Pelodiscus sinensis: one gene and its partner. The protein of the gene in region 1 interacts with the protein of each later gene in a pairwise test. Links are inferred from orthologs where the notes say so. Each region holds a gene or a part of one and is shown on either strand. Other genes may lie near its edges. The genes, in order: KCNA3 and CAV1.

Evidence for each region.
Region 2: the proteins of KCNA3 (region 1) and CAV1 come close enough for resonance energy transfer, tested with the Homo sapiens proteins (2 studies listed by BioGRID). The link is inferred for Pelodiscus sinensis from reciprocal best matches to the Homo sapiens genes KCNA3 and CAV1.

Annotation. Positions count from the first base shown.
Region 1 is NC_134737.1:17,440,980-17,449,318, reverse strand, and holds the start of KCNA3 (potassium voltage-gated channel subfamily A member 3), read right to left. Parts: upstream 3,242-8,339; 5' UTR 3,181-3,241; coding exon 1,453-3,180; 3' UTR 1-1,452.
Region 2 is NC_134711.1:45,952,909-45,961,239, forward strand, and holds the start of CAV1 (caveolin-1), read right to left. Parts: upstream 3,342-8,331; 5' UTR 3,214-3,341; coding exon 3,184-3,213; intron 2,932-3,183; exon of another isoform or gene 2,793-2,931; intron 2,526-2,792; exon of another isoform or gene 2,503-2,525; intron 2,044-2,502; coding exon 1,879-2,043; intron 1-1,878. UniProt on the Homo sapiens protein: May act as a scaffolding protein within caveolar membranes. Forms a stable heterooligomeric complex with CAV2 that targets to lipid rafts and drives caveolae formation. Mediates the recruitment of CAVIN proteins (CAVIN1/2/3/4) to the caveolae.

The DNA of each region.
Region 1 (8,339 bases):
AGTTCACCTTTCTAGAACTTCTGAGCAGATGTAGAGCTTTGCATATAGAGAATTAATTTCACCAATGAGATATTAACTTGATAGCGAGGGTAATTTGGAGGTCTGTTGTCTTTATGGCCTAGGAACAGGTGTTTTATTCTGAACATGTGCAGCAGCATCCTACCTATTCCTAGGATGATCATTTTGCTTCGGTAGGTACCAGGACTGCAGGAATGTTTCAAATCTAAAGCAGTGTGCATGGAGGGTAATTAGTGTCTACACCTAGCTCTCTCTGGGATTAACTCTCTGCATGTGTGTGTGGTTTACCAGAGCAGCGGCTTTTCCGTGGAATCGCAGAACTTGGAACCATCTGGAAGGGTTACTGTGGAAACAGCACAGGCTGAAGGGGGATGGGGCGAAGGGATACCATGACAACCTTTTGGGGTTTCCCAGGAAACCAGTGTTGCTATGGAAACTGCATCACTCAGGTCCGAATTAGTAACTTCCGCTGGAAGGCGTTTGCCACTTAATCCTCTTGTGATAGATGCAGACACTTATCTCAGATACATTGGAAATGGACAGAAATACCCCCACACACACTTTGATACTAGGCTCGAGTTTTGTTTGAGGCTGCACAGTAACTTCTAAAAGCCCAATACTGATTTAATGGGAGCCTAAGTTTCCCCCATCTGCATTGGCCTCACAGGATGTTCAAACTCTTAGGATGCTCTTCGGTTAGTCAGTTGCTAATGTGGGAAGGATATTTCCCCACAAACACCATGCAGCCAGGAATTTCAGGTGGGATGAAACAATTCCATAGGTGGGAAAAGGAAATTAGGCACAGAGAATATGGGCAATTTTTCTGATTAAATCACAACTGATTGCACTTGGGTCTCTGAACAGATTAAAATTTCATAAACGATCTGGCTAGGGAAGAAAAGAAATCAAGGCTGTGCCCATGAAGGACATGCACCACATGTTCAATATTTAGCATAATTTAACAACATGGCCATCAGTAAAATTAAATGGTTTTCTCCCCCTTGCCTGCAAAAAGGCTCTGCCATATAATTTTATTTTTCTCTTCTGACTCACGGTTTTCTGTCCAACAAATGCGTGAGTGTGTGATCGAAAGGGAAATCGGCTGCACAGTGACTCTTTGCAAAAACGAGAACAAACCAAACCAAAAAAAACCCCCAAGCTCCAAAGCAGCCCTGCAACATGTTTCAGAATAAACACCTGTTTCAACGGGGAGCGTGTTCTTCTGTTGTTGTCCTTTCATCTTCCCTTCCATAACCACCCTCATCCTCTTTTCTTCTGATTATTTTGTAATCCTCTTCTTTGTTCTTTAATAGGAATGATCTAAAAAATATATGTGTAAAACAAGGGCACACGCAGACCAATGAAGATGCATGTTCCAGACAATACCGATTACATGGTCACTTTGCATTATTATTTTTTAAACATTTCCTCTTTTTAAACATCAGTGAAGATCTTTTTGATGTTCACACAGTTGGGATTGTTTGTGGTTGTGCAGTTTCCCGTCTTAAAGGCAGCCTGTTTGAATGCAGTGTTGTTGATTCCCCCCTCCTCTATCACCATGTACTCCGACTTGCTCAGGGTGGAATTGCTACGTGCCTTCCTCAGCTCCTCCGTAGAGGAGAGGTGCTGGCAGCTCCCGACATGTAGATATTGGGCTTGCTCCTCACCTTCAGTCTCCCGGTGGTAGAAATAATTGAAGTTGGAGACTATCACAGGCACGGGAAGGGCAATGGTCAGAACCCCAGCAATGGCACAGAGAGACCCCACAATTTTGCCCCCAATGGTGATTGGGTGCATGTCCCCATAGCCCACTGTGGTCATGGTCACCACCGCCCACCAGAAGGCATCAGGGATGCTGCTGAAGCCTGAGCTGGGGTCATCAGCCTCTGCAAAGTAGACAGCGCTGGAGAAGAGGATGACTCCAATGAAGAGGAAGAAAATGAGCAAACCCAACTCCCTCATGCTGGCCTTGAGGGTCTGCCCCAGGATCTGCAGCCCTTTGGAGTGTCGTGAAAGCTTGAAGATACGGAAGACCCTCACCAGCCGAATGACCCTGAGGATGGCCAGGGACATGGCTTGCTGGCCATTCCCCTGCCTCTCGGCCAGTTCTGTGCCCAAGGTGATGAAGTAGGGAATGATGGCCACAATGTCGATGATGTTCATGATGTTCTTGGAGAAGGTGGCCTTGCTGGGGCAGGCAAAGAAGCGAACGAGCAGCTCGAAGGAGAACCAGATGATGCACAACGTCTCCACGACAAAGAAGGGGTCGGTGAAGGACGAGACCATGGAGACGGCCGAGGAGGAGGAATTGGTAAAGACCTCCGTGGCCAAGGGGCCGCTGCTTGTGCCAAAGGTCCCCCCGGTCGCCTCATAGTCACGGTCGTCCCTGAACTCTGGCAAGGTCTCCAGGCAGAAGATGACGATTGAGATGAGGATGACGAGGACCGAGACAATGGCGATGCCTCTGGCTGGCCCAGAGCTCTCCGGGTATTCGAAGAGGAGCCACACCTGGCGCTGGAACTCCTTGTCGGGCAGAGGCCGCTGCTCCTCGCGGATGAAGCCCTCGTCCTCCCGGAACTTCTCCATGGCCTCCTCACCCAGCTGGTAGAAGCGGATCTCCTCGGAGAAGATGTCGATGGGCACGTTGACGGGGCGCCGGATGCGGCCTCCGGACTGGTAGTAGTAGAGGATGGCGTCGAAGCTGGGCCGGTTGCGGTCGAAGAAGTACTCGTTGCGCAGGGGGTCGAAGTAGCGCATCCTCTTGCGGGGGTCACCCAGCAAGGTCTCGGGGAACTGAGCCAGGGTCTTGAGCTGCGTCTCGAAGCGCAGGCCGGAGATGTTGATGACCACCCGCTCGCAGCACTCGTGCTCCCCGCCTGGGGCGTGGCCGGGGGGCAGCGGGACGTGGGCCGGGGGGTGGTCGTAGCGCTCCCCCCCCAGCAACGGGTGGGGGTGCTGGGGCTCCTCCAGCAGGGGGCCCCCCCCGCCCACCACCACGGTCATGCCGCCCTCCTCCTCCTCCTGCTCCCGCCCGGGCTGGGGGGCGGCGGAGGGCGGCTCGGTGTAGCCCGGGTTGTGGTGGCTGCTGCCGCCGCCGCCCCGCGGGTGCCGGCTGCAGGAGGAGGCGGCCGGCGAGCGCAGCAAGCTCCGGTGCTCGTCCATGCAGGGCAGCGGCGCGGCCGAGAGGAGAGACCCGCCCGCCGCCAGCCGCCGCCGCTCGGCTCAAAAAGTCCGCCCCCCGCCCAGCGCCGCCCAGCGCCACTCAGCGCGCCGGGGCCGCCCCCGGACCGCCCAGCCCGGGCGTGGGGCGGGGCGGGCGGGGAGCCCGGGGGCTCTGCAGGGAGCCCCGGCTACCCCAGAAGGAGCCCGAGGCGATGGAGCCAAGCGGGCTGCAGCCCAGATGCCTCCCAGCGGGAGGTGCCCACCCCAGGCTAGGAAGCATAATGGGCATCCCGGGGGGGGGGCAGATCGGCTCGCCCCAGGCAGGGCTCGGGGAGTCCCTCTCCACTGAGGTGCTGAAGCTGAGACATGGCCAGCCAGGGCACCGGGAAGGCACCAACCCGTCCCGCCCAGGCCAGGTGGAGCTCAGAGAGATGCCCCCGTGCCAGGAGGAGGAACACGCCCAGGCTGGCAGTGCCCAGGCTCCAGGATAATAGTCCACCGTGCTTGGGTCAGAAAACCCGCATTCTCCCTGCCACGAATTGTGAGGCAGAATTCACACCCCCCCTTGGGACATATACAAATGTCATTTCAAATCCACATCTTGAAACAAAATACATTTTAAGGGAACAAGAAACACAAACAAAAGGTTTTGTGTCAGCATTTGGATGAAGTTGTGATTTTGTTGTTTTTATTTGAATTGGAAGAAAACTAAAGGAAATAACATTTTACGTCAGAACAAAACCAAACAGGTTTCATGGCATCTAGAACTGTTTATTCAAACGGAAAATGTTTGTTTCACTGTTTCCTGCGGAAAAAACCAAGATCTTTCATCAAAATGAACTTTTTCCTGTGAAAATTTTTCAGTTTTGATGAAACATGGTGTTTATGTGGGGAAAACACTCTGCACAAAACATGTTGACCAGCTTTAATAGTTACCTCCTCCACCCACTTGGCCATTTCAACTAAGATGCTCACCGAGGCAATATTTGCTAGGTAGCTACAACAATAAACTTGCCCGTTTTGGGCTGCACACCCAGTGATAATTAAAACACTAAACTAGTGGGTATCGCAACACAATGTGGTGGATTTTTTCAATAAGTGACCTCTTGTTCTATTTCCTGAGCTAAGTTTTTTCTCCAGGACGCGTCTTGAAATGCAGGGTAGAATTCTATGTACATGATTCTACTAATTCCTGGCCTGCTCAGATTGCTAAATTGGAGAGGAGTCCAGTCCAGATCCTGGCTAAACAGCAGTGTTTTCCGGAGGGAAAGGGATAGCAAGATGGGAAATGTAGAGCACCAGTTTTCTAGATTCTACTCCCCACTTTGATTTATTGCTATGGTTATTTTTAAACAAAACAGCCTCCAGAAGGGGGAAACCTATAAAAAGATCAAATTTATTTATAAATAAATAGAGCTGTAGAAAATACACGAACGTATAAAAGGAGCCAAGAATACATGGAAAGCTACAAACAAAATTACAAAAAGAGGCAGGGTGGATTTATCAACAGGCACACCACATGAAAATATCACACAGAATACCCATGCGTCTAACGGAGCTCAAGCTAGCTTTCCCTTCACCACACTCTGCCTCAAAAATGGAAAAGCTCCAGATCCTCTTGTGGCATCATTCTAACCCAGAGCCAGATTGGCCAGTGCAAAACACTCTGCTCATTCACTGGAGGAGCCTAGGACTTCACACCCAGGCCAAGCAAAGCCTCCTCCCAAACAGCCTTTTCTTGCAGGCAAATATCCTGCGTGTGTCCTTGGCACCTAATAGGCAGCCAGTCTGATGCTCTTCAGCACATGTGCCTTGTACTTCAGGGTGCTCACCTCAGAGAATATCTGCCCTTGAAGACATCTTATCTGGACAGCTACAGCCATGCAGAGACTGAGCCACGTGTTAAGGAGCATACCCAACGTGGTGAGCATGTCTGTGATATGCGTCTCACAGGCCTGCAGAGGAGAAGGGACAAAGGGGACAGTCCCTGGGGCCCAGTGATTCAAAGGGGCGTAGGCCAGCAGAAGTGGCAGCTGGAACCCTGAGTCCTTTCAGTCGCTGCTGGAGCACGGCACTGAGTGTTCCGGGCAGCGCTAAGGGCTGGGGGTGCCACACTCTGGGTGGTGCTGAGCGCTGCCTGTGGGCCAGCATGGTGCACTCCGGGCAGTGCTCAGAGCTGGCTGTCCCCAGCCCCACCCCTTCTGCCTTAGGCTCCACCCCATATGACCAAAACTCCAAGAGCACTTAGCCACCCCCCCCCCCACACACACCTTGCCCAAGGGTGTCAGTACCTCTGCAATTCAAGAAATGCACCAAGGTGACAAGTGCACTTCAGGCAATTGCACTGCACTAACTTGAGGGAGTGGCTGTTCCTTACCATCCACTTGTACAATGTCAGAACAACCGGTCCTCAGCCTGACTGCATGCTCCTGTAATTTGTACCAATGTTAACAATTAGCGATAGTGCCTGTCCTTCCCCTTCACAGGCACAATCATGTTCTCTGCTGCCAGTCGCCAGGGAATGTGCAATATTAGGGGCATGCAATGTAAATCTAGGACTGTCAGAATCCCCTTTTACCGGTCTGCCCACAAAGGACAGGAAGCCAAGGAAATTCCCAATCACTTCCGAGTCAGGGGATCTATTTTTCTGTGCTTTGCATTTCTGGTTCTAACTGTGTCATGTTACACTCGAGGGCTCTGCCTCGTTTTTGCAGATACAGACTCATGGCCACCCCTGTGAGACGTATTTAGGTGCAGCACATGAAGATTGTGTGTGATTTATCTCTTCCCCCCTGCTGGAAATGTGGCCAATAAATCAGTGTTGTCTGGCCTCTAGGACACAAATAAGAACGTGGTAGCCCATGCACAGCTTTGACGGATGAGGAAAGGCTCAAGAGGAGAAGGCAAAACTTATATAAATGCGTAAAGTCACAGACCTCTGTTGTCAGTAGGTGGGATTGACCAGGGAACCTTAGGCCCTGCACCACTACCACATGAGCTGACTGCCAGCTGACTTTGTACACCTTCTCTGTGGTCTCAGAGTCTCTGGGTTACAAAGGCAATTATTTGCTATGGAATTTTTCAGTCGGGAGAATAATGCACCTCCAGGGGAAACTCATGCAACTACTTTGTATAGAGAACTCCAGCTGTAGCTGAAGAAAAGTGCATTATTTTAGGGGTGTGAAGTTGATTCTCCAGTTGATAGAGGGGTATTATAAGTAGCATGAGGGGGGTTACCCGAATCTGTCAAGGAAAACATATAAATGTGTTAAAATTACAGGGGGAAAGAAATATTGCAAAATGTGAGGTATTTATGGGGATGTTTGCCTGCCACCCTGGACTGCTCTCAGCTGGTGTGAATCAGGATGAGGTCATCAAACATTAGTTGAGCTACAGTGACTTACTCCAAGCCTCCTCTCAGCAAGGCAAACAGAAATGTACAATGGGACCTTTTCCTCAAATAGGAACTTCATGCTAAGCAGAATTTCTGCCCCTGGAGCGGGACAACCTTAATTTTGCTCTGTGAGTGAGGCAAGAACTTTACTGACCCACCCTTTGCTGGTGGCCTTCAGTGCGACCTTGTACAAGAAAAGAAAGCTTGTGATACAATGTAACAAACTTCTACCCTCATTTTTCTCTTCAAGGGCCCTTTAAGGGGAGATTTTCAAAGGGACAAAGCATGGATTGGCCCCCAACTCCCCCCCTGAATGCCAATGAGAGGTGAGCACATACCTTCCATGTGTGCTTTTGAAAATCTCCTCCTTTCCCATGGGCACAGAGCCATTTGATGCTGGTTTTTCCAAATTCCTCTTCAGCTAAATTTGAGATGTCTTCAAAGCAAATGGCAGAGTGTTTTCCGAAGGATCCATAGGCAGCAAACGTGCACCGCCATGCCATGACCAATTGATCAGCAGAAGCGTTTGTCGTGTGCCACTTCTTACCACCTAGAATACTCAGCAACAGCAGCTAAGTGCTGGTGCGTTTGCTTCTCCATCATGCTATAAATGTGTAGGCTCTGCTAACGCTTAACAGATTCCTTGCATGGATGAAGTGATTAGTGCCACTTTTCAGTGAGTGCCATTGCATCCCCGTTGACTAATTTCCTCTTCAAGGATCTTGGGCTCGTCCTGGCCACCAACAATATCACTTCTAGCTGAGGCTTTCAGTCTCACTGTATAGTTCAACCAGCTTTTTGGTATTGCTGCCTTTGGACATAAGTGTCAGCCGATGGTCAGGGCAGTGTGTGTGTGTGTGTGTGTGTGTCACACCCAAGTCTTTAACTGCTGAGACACAAGGTCCCGTCACAGCAGGCAGCCTAGGAGGCTGAGGGGCACCCCAAGAAGTTTAACGTCTGTGTCTTTACCGCTAGGACCGGGGTCCCGTTGCGGAGGGCAGCCAACAGGCTGACAGACGCCGCAGAGTTTAACGTCCGTGTCTTTACCGCTACGACTGGGGTCCCATCGCGGAGGGCAGCCAGCAGGCTGACAGACGCCCCAGAGTTTATAGGAAGAGCTTATTACATCTCAGATTTCAATTGCTAGGATACAGGATCCCTTCACAGTGGGCAGCCAGGGAGGCTGAGAGATGCCCCAATGGATCTGTCCTCTGGAAGCAACACGACCCAACACTCAAGTTCCCCCTATACCTGTCCCTTATGACCGGCTGAAGTTCTTTTAAATTGTGCTTGGTTCTGTTACAGCAACTGAAGGAGTCAGGTTAAAACTTAACCAGTTACAGGTTTATTAAAGAAGCTTATAAATCATATGGTTACAATGGCTATTGCTCCACTTCTTAACTGCTAGCAAATATAGATCTTAAAATGGTTACAAAGAAAATAAAAATAGAAAATAGAAATAATGGTACCAAGTGACAGCTTAATCTTTAAAGAGCTCTAAGTCTACGTGTACACTTAAGACAAAGGACCAAATCCAGGTACAATTTTTACCCCCTTCTGTGCCTCTCAACTCCAGCGGGTCAAGCCAGGGCCGGTCCCTCAATTCCTAGGAAAGACGAATACAAGGTGGGCATCCCCATGGAACCTCGGGAGGTCAAACACCTAACCCGACAAGCAGATAGATAGTAGATTGACACTCAGAGTAAGTGTGCTGCTGGACCCATCTTTATACCCATAGGGGCCCGTATCCTCTTTCTTATCTAAG
Region 2 (8,331 bases), on another chromosome or scaffold:
GGACCTGGAGTGTCATTGTGGGCTCCTTAGGGGAGGGGAGGGGAGGCTGGGCCTCAGGGGCCAGATCCAGGCAAGCTGGGGGCCACATCTGGTCCCTGAGCCCCGGTTCCCCAACCCTGGTTTAAGACAAGTATGTTTTTTTTCCCTGTGTTTCTCTTCCCAATGGGATCTTTCTTTTTCTGTTCAGTGGATTCCCAGATGACAGTCTGCCTGGGGGCTATGACTCATACTCAGAAGGTTCAGTTGCATTGGGGACTTTTAACTACTACTGCTGCAGCACTCAGGCGAGAACTACCATGCTGCTCTCTGAACGCCTGTATAGCTCTCCTGCTACACCTTTTCTTTCACAGCCAAAGGGAAAACCAAAAAAATCAGTTGATAAACAAGTCGGTGGTTTGTAAATTTAGATTTGTACTATTCTGTGTTTTGTCAACCATTTTTCCATATGTACAGAATTTAACTTTTGTTTCTAGATTGTAAAGCCAACATAGTGAAAATAGTACCATATGCATACTGTCTGCCTGCAAAAACTTTTAGGACTTGATCCAACCAGGTGGGCAGCCCCTGCTTGAAATCTTATTGCAGCCAATGAGATTTAAGAATGCTCCGTACCCTTTAGGATTATGCTCTAGAGGTCTAAATTTTCAAGGCGAGTTGGTGAAATCAACAAAAGTGAAATTGTTCTGATACAGAAAGAATGAAATGTTTTCTTTAATCTAAAAAGGCAGGCTTTACCTCCCAGCCTAGTGGCAGGATGGATTAAAATTGCACCATTCTACTGCTGGATTTGAAATAAGTGAGTGTTTCTCCCCCCCCCCCCCCCCATATTCTAACTTGAACAACACTGTCATTGGCCTTCACATGTGCAGTATACACCCTCTGCTAAAGAAGGATCAACACTAGGGTTTTTCTGACCCTTGGCCTTGGCAACATTGACAGTTAACTGAGATTTGCTGAAATGATCACAACTAGAATTAAAAATCCAGCCACAGTTATTTCTTTTTTTTTTTTGTATTGCCTGTTTTCATTATTTCAGTACAGGAGAAAAAATAACCAGGCCCTATGGTTTTGCATGCAATTGGCTTTAACAAAAGTGAGCTGTATGCAGCTGGAGCAGGCAAAAGCTGTTCCACAGGAAAATCACTTAGCAAAATCCTGGTCAACATTCTTAACAATGCAATTTGATTTTTTTATTTTTTTTCTATTCCTTAATAGGGTACTTACAGGAATCATTGCTGGCCAGTAAAATTTCCCTTCCTGTGTTAAATATGGTAATGTTCACTCAATGTCTCACCCCACCCCACTATGAACCACTATCTGCAGCCAGCTTGACTCCAACACAAGGACACGCTGGGTACATCTGTCAGTGCACACACACAGCCCGCGGGTTCCCTGCTGGGGCAGCCCCTTCCCGCGGAGTAGCTGCCCTGTGTGGTATTGGCTTGGAAAGTGCAAAAGCTCCAGCAGCTACCTGGTTCCCGTGTAGACTCGATAGAGAGTTGGCAGCGGCTCTGAGAAGGGTGCGGAATCAACACCCCTGCGGCAGGTTCCCGCCTTATGGGGCGCGCAGAGCCGGGGGGCAGGTCCCCCCCCCGCTGGCGTTGCGCTCCCGCGACTCGCAAGCTGCCTAAGGGGCCCAGACCACAGAGCTCCTGTAGAACTGGCTAGAAGAGCGTGACCCACCCACCCCCGCTGGCTCCGAAGTTTGCCCGGACAGCGCGGCGGGGAAGCAATGAGCTGCCGCCAATGCGCTCCACGCCCTCCGTGGCTTCTCTGCAAACTCCGCGCCCCTGGGAGCGGCTGTGGCAAAAAAGTCCCGTCTCCCCCCCCATAGCTCCAGCCCCCTGCTCCTCGCGTTTCCTGGCCTTAGCCCCTTACCTTGACCACGTCGTCGTTGAGGCGCTTGGGGTCCCGGTTGACCAGGTCGATCTCCTTGGTGTGCACGTCGTGCATCGTCTTCTCGTTCAGCTCCTCGGCCATGCTCTTGTTGTGGGGCTTGTAGATGTTGCCTTGCTGCCGGGCGGGCGCGCTGTACAGCAGCCCCTGGGGACGGAGCGGGGCAGAGGTGAGGCTCCCCGGGGCTGGGCGCTGGCGGGGCAGGGGCTACTCGCTCATCCAGCGGCGCGCGCGGAGCCCGGAACCCGTCAGCGCCGAGCCTGCCCCGCGGCTGCTTTTTAACGGGATAAAAGCAGCAGCCCTCGCCACACCCGCCCCGCCCTCCCTCCCTGCGGCGCGCGGTACCAGGCAGAGCAGCGACTCCCGCTCCCGCCGCCAGGGGTCCCCGGCCGGGCAGCGCCGCCGCGCCCCTCGGGCATGTGCCCGGCCCCGGCCCCTCTCCAGCGCCCCTGGCCCATCCCCGCGCCAGGTCTCAGCCCGCGGCGTTTGTCTCGGGCCCTGCCCCCGGGGTCGCGGCTCTGCACCCCCCCCCCCCAGGCCGAGCCCTGGGCCCAGCCCCCCATCTCCTCGCAGCGTCCCTCACTCGGCCCCCTCTGCAGCTCTGACCTCAGCTCAGCCCCCGGGGCGAGCCCGCCGCCGTCCCTCGCACCGCACCCCGGCACTCAGGTCCGGCGGGGGGAGGGGAGAGGCTGTTGCCTTCCCAGGGGACTCGCTGCCGGGGGCAGAGCGGGCCCCCTGCCCCAGAGGCTGCCGCGGGCCGAACAGCCCCCTGGGGGGGGGGGGGAGAGGGAGCGGCTGGGGGACTTTCGCTTTTCGTGCAACATGGCACTCGGGCTGGCCGGAAAACAACCCGCAGCCTCAATAACAACCCGCGCAAGGAGCTGTCAGCGCTTCACCTGCCCCTTTCGCCCTGCCGCGGGTCCCTACACACCGGACTCAGGGAAGGCGAGCGGCTCTGGATGGGGAGAGGTGCCGACAGATCGGGTTTCCCTGGAGAGTCAGCAACATGGACCAAAAACAAGGGAAAAAAAACCCCAAACAAACCAACCCTCCCCCCCCAACCCCGATCGCCCTGCTTATCTCTAAGCTAGCTTCCCCAGCACCGCCTCGCTCCTCTGCGGGAAGGGGTCACGGTCAAGAGCAAAATCAGTGCAGAAAAGCGCCAAGAATGCCCGGAGAAGCCAGCGCTAGCTTGAAGCAGGTACTCGTAGCCAGGAAGAAGCAGGCACAAGAAGTATCTGAACTGAAACTGACTTTTAAAAGGATCCCATCCTAGGCAAAGCCTACCTCTGGGTCTACGTATTGGCTACCAGACATGCTGTCTTGGACTTGGCGGAGAGTCGGACTGAGGTTTCCCTGCGATTTAATTTAGGCGAGCTCAGAAAGGAAGATCCTGTATTGTAGAAAGCAAGCGAGGGGTGGTAGCTATAAGTGAGACAGCTGGCCGCCGGCCAGAGTTTGTTCTGTTTGCTTTTGGCTGCGATGACAGCAATGGTGGGTCTAGGCACATGCCCAAAGCCCTCCGAGCAGCAGGGGGTATAAAGAGGAGGGAGGGGAGAATCCTGAAACTGGACTTTCCCGACCTTATTCTGCCTGTGCAAATTTTGAAACATGGGGCGAGGTTGCTTTGCCAACCATTCATACAGCGATCCAAGCGAGGCTGCTGCTTGCTTCGGAAAGGAAAATCACTTTGCAGCACGTCGGCATGTTGCGAGGGCGTTGGAGGAGAAGCGCCTCATTTTAGCCCTAAGATTACAAGCTCTTCGGAGCTGTCTCTGGTCTAAGTCAGAAGCCTCCGATTTCCTTCATAAATCTTATTTCACATCATCCCATCGCGTATGTTAAATCGGTTGCGTTGATGTTTTAGAGCGGAAAGTAATGAGAGTATCTGTTTTTCACATCTAAACCAAAGCAAGGCGTTTGTATTTTTCTTTGACAATAGTTTACATATAAGAACAATTGTGGAAAATTGAGCTCTTTTTGGATTGCAAGAGAGAGACTGTCCCGAGTGATTCATTTCACAGCTATGCAAATATTTAACAGTTCCCACTAGCATTTACTGTATTTTTTTCTGGGTGGAAAATGAATAATGCCAGCATATTGTAGCATGTTTGTCATATGCATATTATCTTCCAGGATTTTAAAATAAGAGGCATTGAAGTAAAGTCAGCATTGTTTTCACTATGGGGGTTCTTCATAATCTCTAAATTCCATGATAACTCAAGGATTCAGGTTTATTGTTAATAGATAACAATGTTTTGCACTCTGTCTCTTAACTGATTTTGATTAGGGTTACAAAGTTACTGCACTAGTGATAGGAATTAATTCATTGTTTTACTATACAAGATTTCACCGTGTTGGAACATTCAGTTGTTTCCTTTTAGAAGTGTACCTTTTCAGAGTTATTCTGACTTTACCTTGAGCAGGGTATTGCACTGGGAGAACTAGCTGTAAACTTTGAACCTGGAAAGTTTGGTTTCATGATGTAAAATAGCCCTTTAAATTCATCACCTACAAATATGAAAAGAGGATTCAGACAGTGATGTTCCTAAATGACGTGCATTATCCCTCCTTTCACCTCCTCTTTTTTTCATGTGTTCTTAACTTTATCAAGCAAATCCTTTAAGGACTGATAATTGCTATGTTTCACCTTGATTCTCATTTCAAATATAAACTTTTTTTAGAATAGCAAAACTGATTCTGTCAGTGACTTAAATTAGCATACAAAACTTCACTTTACAAGTGTTTCAATGAGACAGATTGAGCTTGCATAAATTAAAAATGGCTGAAGCTAGAAACTTGGCCTAAGCTTTTAAAAATCTGGGTTTGAGGAAAAACACAATATTGTTTTACAAGTTAGAGATATTTAAATTAGTCAGTTTCACACACCTGCATGAGAAGAACTAGAATCATTATTCAGCATTGTTGCTGCCTTAAGGATGACAAAATTAGAGATATATTTAACTCCAAAGTCTATGTGGATTCAAAATTTTTAAATTGTGCAGAACAAACCTGTTTCTAAGAAGCTTCAAAGTCATTTAGGACAGCAGCACCACTGCAGTTCAAAGAATTTTCAAAGTTGGCAGGGTTAATACACATTGTAAGATGAATTCCAGATCAAGGAACTTGGGGGTTGAAAAGAACTATGGGATCTGGTAAGAATGCAAGTTACTGCTTAAAGTAAAATGTCAAAAGATAATAAATCATAAAGAGAAAATTGCACTGATACTAACAACTTCTGAGTGTGAGGCAGATCTGTAGGGTCATAGGAATGTGTCCATCTCCCATGACACCATTACCTTCATAAGAGTCAAACAAACAAATGAGCCAACACAAATGAAGATTGAAATGCAACATGACTGAGCCCAGGAATAGTAACCAGGAGTTACACTGTTCATCAGCTGTGATAGTTTTTCAACAAAGTTCTATCTGAAGATATGAAAACATTATTGAAACCTTCCTAAAGTTTGAAAGTTACATGTAGCATTCAACAAAATATTCTGACAATAATTCTCATTTTTTGAAGTGGAAGGTTTTTCTGCACTTGTGTTATATGCTTCTAGAGTAACACCCAACATGATTTCCTAGTACACCAAATAGGTATCAGAGTTGTAAAATAGTCTCCAAGCAGCAATACATGAGACTGAGAGGTAACAGTGTATAACTGTCCATGGGGAATCTGTTTGTGATTTCATTTTACACCTATTTTACACCTGTGTATTTCCAATGACATCATCTGCACTATTCCTAATATATTCTGGTGTGATTGAGATCAGAATCATCCCTGGCAATGTATTTCTTTTAAATGTATTTTCTACAGGAGCCAGCCAGTTTCTTTTTAATTTCAAAAACAGTGTCTGTCAGTAAGCAACCCTCAGTGTGTGCAGTACTAAAAACAACACACTGAAAAGAATTAATGAGCAGTTCACTTAAGTAATTTAGGTTGGATTCACAAAGGCATCTAGGTGCCTAACTCCCCTCTGGCTTAAATACCTTTGTGAATCCCATCTTCTAATATTTTCAGTGAGACTCTTCATGAGCTTAAAGTTATGCACATGCATAAGTGTATTATTGGATCAGAGCCTTGGCCACTGATATCCTCCCTATGTGATTTGTCTTTCTGATACTGGGCCCCAACAATTATGTGGCATGAAACATGGGAACTTGTTTAAAATATAGTCTCATTCCTTGATGCACAGATGTTAAGGCTTGAAGGAGCCATGATTGTCTAAGTCAGTGGTCTCCAAACTTTTTAAGCATGAGATCACTTTTTGAATTTAATTGCAATCCAGGATCTACCTCAAACCCAAATACCCTTGCCCCTCCTCCTTCCCGCCCCCCTTCTGAGGTCCTGCCCCTGCTCACTCCATCCTCCCTCTCCTATCCTCACTCACTTTTATCAAGCTGGAGGCAGGAATTTGGGGTGCTGGAGGGGTTCAGGACTGGGGCTGGGGTTCAGAATGCAGACTCTAGCTGGGCGCTGCTTACCACAGGTGGCTTCTGCATGATGGTGCAGGGGGACTCACCTCTGTTCTAGCCCTGCACCACTCCCAAAAGCAGCTAGCAAACTTCCTCCATCCCGTCCCCCCGCTGGTCTGTGGAGGTGGGGTACAGGGCGGAGGGAGGGGCACCCTGAGTACCCTCCCTTCCTCTTCTTCCCATGCCCTGCACAGCAAGCAGGAGGCTCCCACGGAGGAGTACGGGGAGCAGCTCCAAGGCAGAGGGCAGGAGCAGCATGGCAGTGCTGAGAGGGGCAGCCGAAGTGCCAGCACTTGATAGTCTTCTGGCCAAACCTCTCAGGATCACTGTCAAAGGCTCCAAGATCTACCAGTAGATCCTGATCTACTGGTTGGTGACCACTGGTCTAAGAGGTCATAGAATTTCACCCAGTAATTCCTGCATCAAGGACACAACTTTTGCTGGAGCAAGAGCTTATGGTGACTCTGTGCCCCCTTAGTTTTATGGAAATGTGCTTTTGAATATGAATATGCATAACTCAGATATGAGTTATGCAAGATGCAACATGTAAACTCTAATTGAAAAGCTTGTAAACAATCATGGAGAGTTGGTCAGCATTTATAAGAACATAAGAATGACCATAGTGGGTCAGACCAAATGTCCATCCAGCCCAGTATCCTGTCTGCTGACAGTTGCCAATGCCAGGTGTCCCAGAGGGAGTGAATCGAACATGTAATGATCAAGCCATCTCTCTCCTGCCATCCATCTCCATCCTCTGACAAACAGAGGCTAGGGACACCATTCCTTATCCATACTGGCTAATAGCCATTAATGGACTCAACCTCTATGAATTTATCTAGTTCTCTTTTAAACCCTATTATAGTCCTCGCCTTCACAACCTCCTCAGGCAAGGAGTTCCACAGATTGACTATGCGCTGTGTGAAGCAGAACTTCCTTTTATTTTTTTTAAACCTGATGCCTATTAGTTTCATTTGGTGGCCCTTAGTTCTTATATTATGGGAACAAGTAAATAACTTTTCCTTATTCACTTTCTCTATACCACTCATGACTTTATATACCTCTATCATATCCCCCTTAGTCTCCTCTTTTCCGAGCTGAAAAGTCCCAGTCTCTTTAATCTCTCCTCATATGGGACCCGTTCCAAACCCCTAATCATTTTAGTTGCCCTTCTCTGAACCTTTTCTAATGCCAGTATATCTTTTTTGAGATGAGGAGACCACATCTGTACGTAGTATTCAAGATGTGGGTGTACCATGGATTTATATAAGGGCAATAAGACATTCTCCATCTTATTCTCTATCCCTTTTTAAATGAATCCTAACATCCTGTTTGCTTTTTTGACTGTTGTTGCACACTGTATGGACGTCTTCAGAAAACCATCCACAATGACACCAAGATCTCTTTCCTGATTAGTTGTAGCTAAGTTAGCCCCCATAATATTATATATATAGGTGGGGTTATTTTTTTCAATGCATTACTTTACATTTATCCACATTAAATTTCATTTGCCCTTTTGTTGCCCAGTCACTTAGTTTGGTGAGATCTTTTTGAAGTTCTTCACAGTCTGCTTTGGTCTTATCTACCTTGAGCAGTTTAGGATCGTTTGCAAACTTTGACACCTCACTGTTTACCCATTTCTCCAGCTCATTTATGAATAAGTTGAATAGGATTGGTCCTAGGACTGACCCTTGGGGAACACCACTAGTTACCCCTCTCCATTCTGAAAATTTACCATTTATTCCTACCCTTTGTTTCCTGTCTTTTAACCAGTTCTCAGTCCATGAAAGGTTCTTCCCTGTTATCCCATGACAACTTAATTTACGTAAGAGCCCAAGAGGGACCTTGTCAAAGGCTTTCTGGAAATCTAAGTACACTATATCTACTGGAACTCCCTTGTCCACATGTTTGTTGACTCCTTCAAAGAACTCTAATAGATTAATTAGTAAGAGATGATTT